Saccharomyces cerevisiae S288C: one gene and its partner. Changing the gene in region 1 together with any one later gene gives a genetic interaction. Each region holds a gene or a part of one and is shown on either strand. Other genes may lie near its edges.

What was found. A genetic interaction does not mean that the proteins touch.
Region 2: mutations in YKL070W (region 1) and ERV15 together harm fitness more than expected from each alone (negative genetic interaction), as found in Saccharomyces cerevisiae (2 studies listed by BioGRID).

Annotation. Positions count from the first base shown.
Region 1 is NC_001143.9:301,732-309,500, reverse strand, and holds YKL070W (uncharacterized protein), read right to left. Parts: upstream 3,291-7,769; coding exon 2,781-3,290; downstream 1-2,780. Other genes in the region: YKL068W-A (uncharacterized protein), read right to left, coding at 59-295; YKL069W (L-methionine (R)-S-oxide reductase), read right to left, coding at 1,674-2,216; OSI1 (Osi1p), read right to left, coding at 3,617-4,387; STB6 (Stb6p), read right to left, coding at 7,619-7,769.
Region 2 is NC_001134.8:641,399-646,478, reverse strand, and holds ERV15 (Erv15p), read right to left. Parts: upstream 930-5,080; coding exon 501-929; downstream 1-500. Other genes in the region: AME1 (Ame1p), read left to right, coding at 1-321; YBR209W (uncharacterized protein), read right to left, coding at 3,579-3,896; DUR12 (bifunctional urea carboxylase/allophanate hydrolase), read left to right, coding at 4,269-5,080.

The DNA of each region.
Region 1 (7,769 bases):
TTGACAATTAAAAATGTGAAAATAAAACAGCTAAACGAAATTACCGCCAAAATTGGTCTCACAGTTTACCAAATTTTTCCGTCATAGCACTCATTTGAGTCCAATATTTTAACTTAACGGGAGTTAAAGATCCTGTGTTGAGGTCTACCATCAGGTCTTCATCTTCTATTTCTTCCTGAGTTTGACTTAAAGCTTTTTGAAAACTTCCTTGCTTTTGTGTTTGAGAAAAGAGCCCATTTGACCTCTTTGAAGTACTTGATTCGTAAAGGTAACTGACGGAATGGTTTGCCTGCATTGTAGTTGATGATATATAATGTCGTTGATTTATGAGTTACTAGATGGCTACCATTAAGTCTCACTTGAAAATTCGCGGGAGCTGAGAGATGCAAGCATGTAACATTAGGTTCTGTAGTTATATATGATTGTTTCTTCCATTGCCTACATCAGAATCGAACTGTTCTAGGGCCTCACAGTCGAAACAAAAGTTTAGCGTTGTTTCGAGAAATGGCCGCACGAATGGCGATAGATGTCGAAATGCCACACTTTTAATTTTCTCGTTGCGTTTTTTTTTCTTTTTTGCCCTTAGCAGAGGGCAAAAAAGTGACAGAGGAGCCACAACTGCGGCCCGCGTGAACAAAAAACCCCATGATCTTTCTCAATTTTTTATTCGCATGCGACTCCTACATACACGGGACCTGCAAGGTGGTGCGGTGCAGCCACACGGAAGACTATTGTATACATATGTGATTGAAAATGCTTCTTTCCTTGAAAAGAAATAAAGGGATGCTACCTCTTCCTGTGGCACACCTTTCCTTGGACTTTGTATTGAGTAAGGATCCAGACACCTTTAGTGGCGAGCTTGATAATCCAGGTAACACAATATCGCCAATGATTTTTATCAAGTAAGACTATCGCATCCAGAAGATTATTAGTTTAATGTTGTTCGATAAGGCCTATTTTTAGGCTCTTTTTTCAACATTTCCAATCGTCATGTGAAAACTGTACAAGCCACTTAATTTCTCAAAGACCTCGCCACAGAGAAAAGCTCATATCTGTGGCATCACTTACTGCTTCTATGCATTGATAAATCTAGCTAGAATTTTCACCGATATCATGCAAGTAAATGATAGAAAATCATCACAGTTACGCATCAAACACATTTTGAACGTTCCTTTCTTCTTTACGGCAAAGTAAGCATGCCTTTAGCGAGACTGGGGTGAGCTGAAGAAGAACTTGCTGCACTATAGATATGACTTTAGATGTCCGTTATTCAACAATTAAGTGGTTTCGTGGTCTAGTCGGTTATGGCATCTGCTTAACACGCAGAACGTCCCCAGTTCGATCCTGGGCGAAATCAATTTTTTTTTCCGTCAGATATCTCCGTCATTTTCGTTGACGTTTTTTTCTTACCAAGCAAAGATATTTTTAATAAATGCTGAATATCCTTTGTTTGAGGGTAAACATGCCATAAATTTGCAATAAGGGTTACAAATAAAGATTGAGAGCTGTCAATTTGGCGAACAGGGAATGTTTTCTTCACCAATGATCTCCTGAAGCCCCTCAATCTTTCTTGATGTTTATCTCTATTCGTGCCCGTCCGACAATATATTTGACAAGAGAGCTACATGGGAATATTGGTTATGTGCGTAAATACTTGTTCGTTCTCAAAACTCTTATTTAAAGACACATGATTTATTAATTAATTTAGCAAGTTTTTCTAGGAATTCTTTGTCTACGTGGTCGAATCCTTCGTAATCCAAACAATCTATGTCTATGACGCCCAATGTCTTACCATCATTGGATATGATTGGAACAACAATTTCGCTCTTGGTTTCACCGTCGCACGCAATATGACCGGGATACTTGTTGACATCTGGAACAATCTGCGTTTCCTTTGTAGAGGCTGCAGTTCCGCAAACACCTTTACCGAATTGAATCATTTGGCAAGCGACCTTTCCTTGAAATGGGCCCAATATCAGTGTGTTTTCTTCGCTAGCTTGAGTAACGTAAAATCCAGCCCAATTGATATCAACAGCTAATGACTTGTACGCATGCCAGATCAATGACGAAGCGTTTGACAAATTACAAACCCAATTGACTTGTCCATCTGATAGCCCCTCGTATGAAAGCAGAAGCTGTTCTAGAATTTCTTCCTTATTCAGATTTGAAGAATAGTTAACATGATCGGCATGATGAAACCCGGTTGATGAGCCCATATCTGTTTGTTTTTTTTTGTTTTTTTTTCTAATTTACGGATTTGTTTTATCAGCAAACGCCTTTGTTTGCTTACATTTGGGAAAATCGTCATCATATAAACATGAAGAAACCGATGATATTAGCGTTCGTTAAAAAGGATAATACTTCGTTGTAAACTCAACTGTAAATATCTTTCTTCATTTCCTCCAAACATGGTTTTCTAACTGCAGGGAATAGGTAAACCTTTGCGTTTGTGTTCTTTCTGCATCACGGTGGGCCTTGCCCTCTGTTAAGTCAATATTAAAAGATAAGATAAGAAAAGAATGAAAACGAATAAATAATTATTGATATTTAATGCGCAGAGAAAATACAAAACTTATAAGCTACCTGGATAGTTATCTTTTACAAGGCGAGCCATTTCTTGGCCTCTTTCTCCACCAAATTCTTTGAATTTTCAACATATGCCTTCAACATTAATCTGTGATTTATTTTGGTCGAATTTGAACTTTGATTGAATATGGGTAATACTGATTTCAAGCCCGACAATGTTTTGAAGCATAGCATTGATATAATAATCTGGGGCATCAGAAACGCTCCACTTTACTTCGTACATTTTCCCCCTCAGGTCTTTTCTCTTCTTCTTGGTCAGTCAAAGTTGATAACATATTAATAAGCCAGTCTTTATCGTCGCGGATAATCCTTGGTGTACCGTAAACGTGCACAGCGGCAAAATCCCATGTTGGTACGAACTTATGGGTCTTTTTCTTCATTGGGAACCACGCCGGAGAAATGTATGAATCGACGCTCTGAAATACCACTAAGCATTTTTGAACTCTTTCCAGCATTTCCACATGTTTATTCTTCCGTGCTAAATGTGCAATAAGTTTATGCTCTCCATTATCGAACTCCACGAATACAAATGGAATATGTGATGCGCACATACCAAAATCGGGGTCATCTTTATTGGAAGAAGTTCTCCATCCGAAGAAACCTTGCCTGCTAGCCTTAGAGGAGAATAGTGTTCCTAGCGGGGGTTTTTTTGATAATTTGTACCTTGAGAGTTCCATGGACTCAAAATGTTTAGGAATGTACATTATGAAATAGATTCTTGGATTCTTCTCAGACTGGCAATTTATGTCTATAATATTAAGGGATGGTTTTCGGCGAATATGCAGAATCTTCGGTTCTAGGACCAGTTATATACCATCCTAATTAAAATCAGAGGACATAATAGAGATAGTTTCAAATCTGGTTAAGCGTTAAAAGATCAGCATACAAAGTGATGCCACAAAATACCTTCTTAAAGGGGCGTGAGGCAAAAGCAAAGTCACATCATATAGCACCTACCAATAAAAAAGTGTATTACACAAAGGTATATTCCGTATCTGAGTTGTATATAAGTAGCCAAATTTGCACTTATCTAAAAGACGCCTTCGCTGCCGTCATAGTTGAAGAACTTTCCATTATCTTCTGGTAAAATTTTTCGGAAGACATCAATTAGCGCAGAGGCACTTTCTTCTGGTGTGATAATATTTACGCCGCTGATGTCTATATTCTTCTCTTTAAAATGATCAAGGCCATATTGGCCCATATCAGTAGATACCATACCTGGGTGAAAAGCAACGACAGTAAAACCCTCCGGTTTCAATTCAAAACTGAGCGTCTTTACCGCATAATTCAAGGCAGCTTTCGATTGACCATAAGCGGAAACAGAAAGTGGTACAAACGCATTGATAGATCCTGCAACACTAGAGATAAAGAATATCTTCCTCGTCTTTTTCAAAAGAAGCAGTGGATAAACTTTTTGAAGGGCTAGTATCGGACCCAGAGCGTTTGTGCTATAATGGTTGAGCCAGACTGATTTGGGAGTTTCCAGGACCTTGTAATAAGAATCAGATACTGCAGAACATGCGATAAAAATATCAATACCCAAGAAGAATGGCGTTTTCTTGATCTCGTCCGCAATATTGCCAATACTTTCGTCCTTTGTAAGGTCAAGTTGGACAATATGGATATTCTTCCTGATTTTTGCTAAATCTTCCACTTGTTTGTTCTTGGGTAATGAAGGTGATCCACGAATAGAGGTTATAACTGTATTGCCCGTAGAAGCGCTTAAAATTTTGACCAAATTAAAACCAATTCCACGGCTACCACCGATGATAAAGTAAGTTATTCTTGATGAAGTATTCATATCGACTTTGTTTGCTTAGAATTCTACTGATTTATGCCACTGGTAAAGGCTTTATTCTTAAAAACGTCAAAAATTAGTTTTGAAGCATCGCCGCCTATTTATTATAACTGGTATACTATCTTACTTATTAGTACTACCATTTATACCGCTATGCATTACTAATCACATTACTAATCTCATTACTAATCTCATTACTAATCTCATTGCTAATCTCATTACTAATCTCATTACAAATAACTTTCTATTGAGGTATTTCTAGGGAATTGCGAAGTTGGTTTGCTTTTTATGAGACCCGCGGACGTTAATCGAAGATATAATCCACGGAAAAATTATATGTCCTGCAATTTGTGCACAGTATATTAATCGGGAACATATATGATTAGATTATTGCAAGTCATGCAAGCTAAAGTAAAACAAGCAATATCAGGAGCTCATAGATATATCATGCACACATCAGGTAGAAGATAGGAAATTATAGAAGATCTGAAGAAATTAGAAGAACTAAGCTCGACTAGCCTAATAGGAAAATGGTGTCCCTTATTTAACCTGAGAAACCAATATTTCGTAGTATCTTCTTTTTTTCTTCCATGGTAATGAGTCCAACAAACTTTGAGCTTCTAAAAAATATAAACTCCAAATGAACCTGATCAGGACAAATGTTCTCTAGGGTAGTTAGATACAAAACCTTTCGGATGAGGGATTTCTTATCCTAGCTATTTAATGAAGCAAAATAAAGCTGTTTCAAAAAGCTTAAGTGTTTGTACTTTTTTTTACCAGGTTAAAGAAACAGGAATAATTATTCGTAGAATTGCAAAATTTTTTATTGACGTACTTGTTTCTATTTTTTGAATAGTCAGTTCTTCGGAAGGCATTCAATAAGAGCCCAATATAAGGGTAAGGTGCACTTTTATACAAGCTGGCCAAAAAAACCGGGAAATGGCAAAAGTTCGAACTATTGTTTCATAGGTACTATTAAATCCTTTCATTTGGTAAAGAAAGGTGCTTGAATGACTTTGCAGACTATTTCTGTTTCCTACCGAATAAATTAGGTGCGCTTTAACGCGCAGTGATGTGTAGATCAATTGAAATGGGGAACTTGCTTATTGAATACAGGATTAAAGAGGAAATGGTACGGTACATTTTTGGATTTTGCCATAACTCACGATAAACTGTGGATGGCTGCATCAAAAGATGGAGAGTTGCTAGATGACCGTCACGTCTGCGTAGTCTCTTCACAACATGTTTTATTGACTTGGTTGATGCTATTGTAGTGATTAAAGAGAACGAGAGATAACGCAAATCAAAATTTTATGTTGTGACATTTGGAAATTGAAGGAATACTTATCTTCGAAAAGCCGGAGCAATGCTTTTACCTCGCTAGAAATAGCATGTCATGTAACATGGTAATGTTAGCTTTATAAATAACCGCGCTATTTAGTAGGCTACTACAATTAACTCCCAGACTTCAAATTAGTCAGAAATGTAATACAATGTTGTGTAACGTTAGTCATATGTTATAATTTGTATTCTCGCAGTAGAGGTAATTCACGATCTTAGGATTTGCGCATGTTTATGATCATAATGTCAAAATAAACTACGTAATGCGTAATTTTAAATAGTTCTTTTGCCCAAAGTAAATGCGCATTATTATAGCATTCGTTGATGTTTCCAGTATTATTGCGATAATACTGGGGCCTGTCCATGAAGTTTTAATAGCAAGTGGCTTAGCAAATATTCTAAAAATTGAGATGGTCACATAACGTGAAAACTCTAAATTCGCGGCAGGAAGTCGGTTCTTTATCCTATGTGATTCGATGTGGAGGCAATTACCTATCTATAATATATGAAAGTTGCTGTATACTTATATAAGCCATTTATAATATGCAAAAGGCGGTAACGATATGCCGCGCAAATCAAAATCCAGATTGAAACAAGAAATAATGATTAAGATATACTATCAGTAACACGACAAAGGTAAGGAAATTCCAGTAACTGAGGCTATTTCATCAACCTAAGTACATCATTTTCAAGAAAAGAAGAAATACTTTATTTAGAGTGTGGAGCGCTAAATGTATGGCAAAAAAAGAAAATGAAACGGACAGGAATTGAACCTGCAACCCTTCGATTGCAATCTTATTCCGTGGAATTTCCAAGATTTAATTGGAGTCGAAAGCTCTACCATTGAGCCACCGCTTCATCTTGGAATATTCACGTTTTAAAATAGGATAGATCACCTCAAACAATGACGACTATATCTGAAAAGAGCAGAGATAACAGTGTTCTATGAAGATAAAATACAAGATTAGATACATAGAAAAAGAAGAGCATGATGAAGTTTAGATCTGCCAACAAATACCTCAAAATTCACCAATCTCTTAATTTAATATTGGATAAATGAGTTCAGTATGTAGCATATATGTTGCATCTCAGAGTAAGATAACATATCATTACCAATATATCAACCTAAACATTTAAATAAGTATGAAACTGTTGGAATAAAAATCCACTATTGTCTATCAACTAATAGTCATACTATCAATATATTATCATATACGGTGTTAAGATGATGACATAAGTTATGAGAAGCTGTCATCGAAGTCAGGGGAAGCTGAAATGCAAGGATAGATAATGTAATAATGAAACCTATAAAACGGAACGAGGAATAATATGTAATATTTTTATGTAGAAATATAGATTTTGAGTATTCCTAGATCCTCGAGGAGGCACTTCTAGTATATTCTGTATACCTAATGTTATAGCCTTCATCAACAATGGAATCCACTAGAAGTTTTCCTCGAGAATATAGGACACCAATATTTTACATAATGCTATTACCTTCTCTTTTCACCTTATATGTACTGATCGATAAATGATAGTTGATTTTCATTTTCTCAATAATTCGTAGTATTTCTCGAAACTCAGAACAGAAGAACGAGAGCATAATGAGCTGGAGCTTCCTTAAAAATTTCAGTGGGCTTATTCCGTAAAAAGGAAGGAAGTCTATGTGACATCTATAATGTGAAAGAAGAAAATAGCTAACTGTCCCCAAAGATCAACCATAAATATACAGTTCTCCCAGGAAATTAAATATGCATCCCTCAAATGGCAGAATTCTTAAAATTACGAATTTTTATAATATCTATAAGTATATGGCTCTCCAGGAAATTAGTGTATCTTATGCATTGTCTGATTTAATAGATCTGCAACAGCAGTAACGAAATGAGGAAGCTTTCATAGTGTATCTTTCTCCTTATTGGGCCTATTTTTGTATAAGAAGGTATCGAATGTCCAGGTGCTCCATTTCCAGAATTCCTTTTTTAACTTTCGAAGACTTTTCTTGTCTAAAATTTTAAAACACAGCCCTTCATATTTAGTCTGTTGG
Region 2 (5,080 bases), on another chromosome or scaffold:
CAGATAATATCGGTACGAAATGAAATTCAAGAGTTGAAAGCCGGTAAAGACTGGCATGACTTACAAAATGAACAAGCCAAACTGAACGACAAAGTGAAGCTAAATAAGAGGCTAAATGATTTGACTTCTACTTTGCTAGGCAAATACGAGGGAGATCGCAAAATTATGAGCCAAGATAGCGAGGACGATTCAATACGGGATGACTCAAATATTCTGGATATTGCACATTTCGTAGACTTGATGGATCCATATAACGGACTTCTGAAAAAGATAAATAAAATTAATGAAAATCTTTCTAACGAATTACAACCAAGTCTATAGGGAATTGGTTCAAAAGATGTATATATATATATATATATATATATATGTATGTATATATGTATATATGTATATATGTATTACTTCCATACTAAGGAAGTTGTGTTATAAGGTCATTTTTATGTGGTAGACATACTTCATAGATATGCACAAATCTCTCTTTTTTTTTCCTGTTGTCGCTATTAGCTTATCAAATTTGCATCATTTTCAAGTAACGCTGTGACCATTCTGTAGAAGTAGAAAAAGAATATGAGAAGGTAAAATCCCAATTTTAAAAAGCATTCAATTTTGCATCTACCCAATTTTCTGAAAATATCCGTGGCGTCCAGTAGATGTGTTTTCTTGTAGACTTTACTTGCGTTATATGCTAGAACAGGGACATTCAAGAGAAATACGAACCAGTACCCGTTAAAAAGAAACAATGCAGAAATGAAAGCTTGTAGAATTGCCTCTGGTACACTCAACCTATTCACCCTCTTACACAGTTCGATTGAGTTGATATAGTCTGCTTCAAGATCACCATATAATATAGTAAAGTATATCTGGCAAATGGAATTCAAACAATTCAGTATAAGACCCGTCACGAATAGCGATAATCCGGTTCCTGACATCTTTACTCTTGGCTTCGAACTTCTTGGTGCCTGCAGTTAGTTTTATCTTTAGTAAAAAATGATAATGAAAGTGCTTATATGAATAAAGGTATTAATGTCTTCGTATTTAGCAATGTAATTGAAAAATCATTCGTGGCCCACGACAATATTTCCAAATTATCACAGCTTTCGATAGAAGTGAACGATTTTGAATTAGAGAGAGTAGTAGTGAGCTAGACGTACTGTGTTTTGAGAATTGAAGTTTGTATAGCAAAACTATACTATCATAATGCAACATTCAAGAAAAATAATGGTATAGAAACAAAAAATAACTCCGATACGGGGAGTCGAACCCCGGTCTCCACGGTGAAAGCGTGATGTGATAGCCGTTACACTATATCGGATAATAACTTATGTTTGATTTAACCTTAAAGATTTTCTATGTCAAGTTTAAACTGGAGGGCTTTCTATTGCCGAACAATCCTAGCTAAAGGCTTTTTTCCCTATTTACAGAAGAAAATGTAATGACTGAAGATTTTGAAAGGTCTCGTTTGATGGCTAGCAGGCTACACCTAGAATTACCCAATTCCAAAGGTTGGTCATCATAGGAAAACAACCAGCATGAACCTTACCCTAGTTCTCTTGCTACTATTTCACATCATCAGGTGATGTCAACTCAGCTTATTGTCAGTGACGACGGATTAGCATTGATACCTGATGTCATTTTAACACGTGTGTTGGATGGGATCCTATACACACCCAAAGAAGATGATTTTTACAACGACACCACCACCATGTATTATGTTTTTGCCACCTGGGGTGATCAAAGTTGGTCATCCTTCGGTTATGATAATACAGCAAGCCTGCAAGAGCACGAAAGATATGTTTTCTAACTTCTTGCCGAGCAGGGAATATTGGGGATTTGGACCGTTGGAATAAATGGGTCCTCAATATTGACAGGAGTCGGTTTTGGAATGAGAATTAACTATCATTTAGTGATGGTAATCCTATTACTAGAATATTATCAGATACAATGTTAGAGGACAATAGGAATACATAAAATAGAAGAAATAATGATGGCATTACATCGAAATATCGATTACACTATATCTTGGAGGAGAACTTTTTATTTTATTTTGTATATCTGATGCTATAGCCTCTAACAATAAGTTAATCCCAACAACTATCTCAATATTCATATAATCGTCTGAGAGATTGATAACAGCTAGTAATGTAGCTAACAGTCAAAAGATAATAAATGATTCATCTTCCAACAGCTTGCGGGGAAAGTTTTTCACACTAATGTGCGGTGTTGTTTTCCTTAACAGGCTCTGAGCAAAATATGGAGAGAGAGGTCTCATTTACTTTGCCATTCTTCATTTAAGCTTGAGGCTTGTTCTACTGAAATGTTAAGTTCTCAGAAGCCAACTTTGGATCAAAGGGCTTTGTTAGTAGCAAAACGCTATTTCTATTGATTTTGATTATTTTTCGAAACATTAAGAGCACAATGTATATTAATTTTCCCTGATGAATAGTTAAGATGATTAGATGGGCTAGGCGCTTAAAAATGAGAAACAGGTGAAATTTGAGATAAATGTTGATTTCGTTGTTGCTAAAGGCTATAATATCAGGTATACAAAATATACTGGAAATATACCTCGAGAATCTTGGAATCCACGAAAGGGAATAGATATTACTCCATAATAATATTATGTTGGAACGAGAGTAATTAATAGTGACATGAGTTGCTATGGTAACAATTCAATGCTTACATCGTATATTAATGTACAACTCGTATACGTTTAAGTGTGATTGCGCCTATTGCAGAAGGAATGTTAAACGAGAAGCTCAGACAATACTGAAGCTGTGTTAAAGACCTATTAGTTGAACATGTTATGGTAGGTACATATATGAGGAATATGAGTCGTCACATCAATGTATAGTAACTACCGGAATCACTATTATATTGGTCATGATTAATATGACCAATCGGCGTGTGTTTTATATACCTCTCTTATTTAGTATAAGAAGATCAGTAATTATTTCTTCATTAATACTAATTTTTAACCTCTAATTATCAACATATTATTTCTCCTTTCGTTTTATCTGATGTCATTCATTGATTGCCAGCAACTATCCCAAACCTCATGTGATTCTCGGATTCCTTACCACGAAAAAACAGATGTGTAAGTGTATTTGAACACACAATAATAAAAATGATTATCATTCCCAGATGGAGGAGCCCATTCCAAACATAGCAAAATTCAGCACATCCTCTTCGTTAGCATTTCCGTATGGAAGCAACCCTCAGTCCAACAAATACCGTTTAAACAAATGAGCGACATTTATTCGCTTTTTCTAAAATAAAGGTCCCCGCTGAAACTTCTTTGCATACAGTTCAAATATTCCACCGTTCTCTTATATGTGGGGCTGGCACTACTTCGTATAATTGACTATACTATCTATATTAGTCTTCCCACATGTAATAGAAAGCTCGTATGGCGCAGTGGTAGCGCAGCAGATTGCAAATCTGTTGGTCCTTAGTTCGATCCTGAGTGCGAGCTTCTTTTTTTTTTTGCAATCCTTATTGAACTTTTTTTCTTGCTGCAGTCTCCTCAAAGGCAACATGTTCTTTGCTTTTTTTCCCCAACGACGTCGAACACATTAGTCCTATGGCTTGCTGCAGATAAGGCTACTATGTGTATTGGCAATACCCTTTTTAAAATTGGCAGATCTCTTATGGCGATCGCCGAACGCCAGGTTGTTAGCTAACTGCAACGGCACGCATCTTTGGCTGCATTTCGCCTCATCATTTACGCGCTTTTCCAGGCTTTTTCCCCTTATCAGATAAGATAAAAAAACGAACAATAAATAAGCTTCAGATAAGATAAGCAGGAAAGCGTTCCTAGCCCTACCGAGAAATGTGCGTTTATAGTTTGGTGCCTCTTTCTTGATTGACGCTCTATAATGAAACCAATATGCGTTCATTCCCCTATTTCATAGGGCACTCTGTTCGCAGTTAGCGCAAGCCATTGAGATAAGACACGCAGATGTTTTGCTTTTTCCTGCTTCTTAATTTGAATCGAGCTTTGTTAGACGTTGTTGGAAATTGAATGTTTGTATTTAAACACTAGAGCAGATGAGGTGTGAGATTTGTATACTCGCTCACTTCTGAATATCAGGCTCTCTTAGCTAAGCTTTTTTTTTCTAGGATCATATAGGCTCAAGTTTTTATAAGCTTATATTAATATATCAGTGGAGCAGCTGATATACACCAAATTTCAATTTACATTAATATAAAAGATAAAAAATAGAAATATCTTTTTTATAGTCACAATAAATTTCAGTTTTGATTAAAAAATGACAGTTAGTTCCGATACAACTGCTGAAATATCGTTAGGTTGGTCAATCCAAGACTGGATTGATTTCCACAAGTCATCAAGCTCCCAGGCTTCACTAAGGCTTCTTGAATCACTACTAGACTCTCAAAATGTTGCGCCAGTCGATAATGCGTGGATATCGCTAATTTCAAAGGAAAATTTACTGCACCAATTCCAAATTTTAAAGAGCAGAGAAAATAAAGAAACTCTACCTCTCTACGGTGTCCCTATTGCTGTTAAGGACAACATCGACGTTAGAGGTCTACCCACCACCGCTGCATGTCCATCCTTTGCATATGAGCCTTCCAAAGACTCTAAAGTAGTAGAACTACTAAGAAATGCAGGTGCGATAATCGTGGGTAAGACAAACTTGGACCAATTTGCCACAGGATTAGTCGGCACACGGTCTCCATATGGGAAAACACCTTGCGCTTTTAGCAAAGAGCATGTATCTGGTGGTTCCTCCGCTGGGTCAGCATCGGTGGTCGCCAGAGGTATCGTACCAATTGCATTGGGTACTGATACAGCAGGTTCTGGTAGAGTCCCAGCCGCCTTGAACAACCTGATTGGCCTAAAGCCAACAAAGGGCGTCTTTTCCTGTCAAGGTGTAGTTCCCGCTTGTAAATCTTTAGACTGCGTCTCCATCTTTGCATTAAACCTAAGTGATGCTGAACGCTGCTTCCGCATCATGTGCCAGCCAGATCCTGATAATGATGAATATTCTAGACCCTATGTTTCCAACCCTTTGAAAAAATTTTCAAGCAATGTAACGATTGCTATTCCTAAAAATAT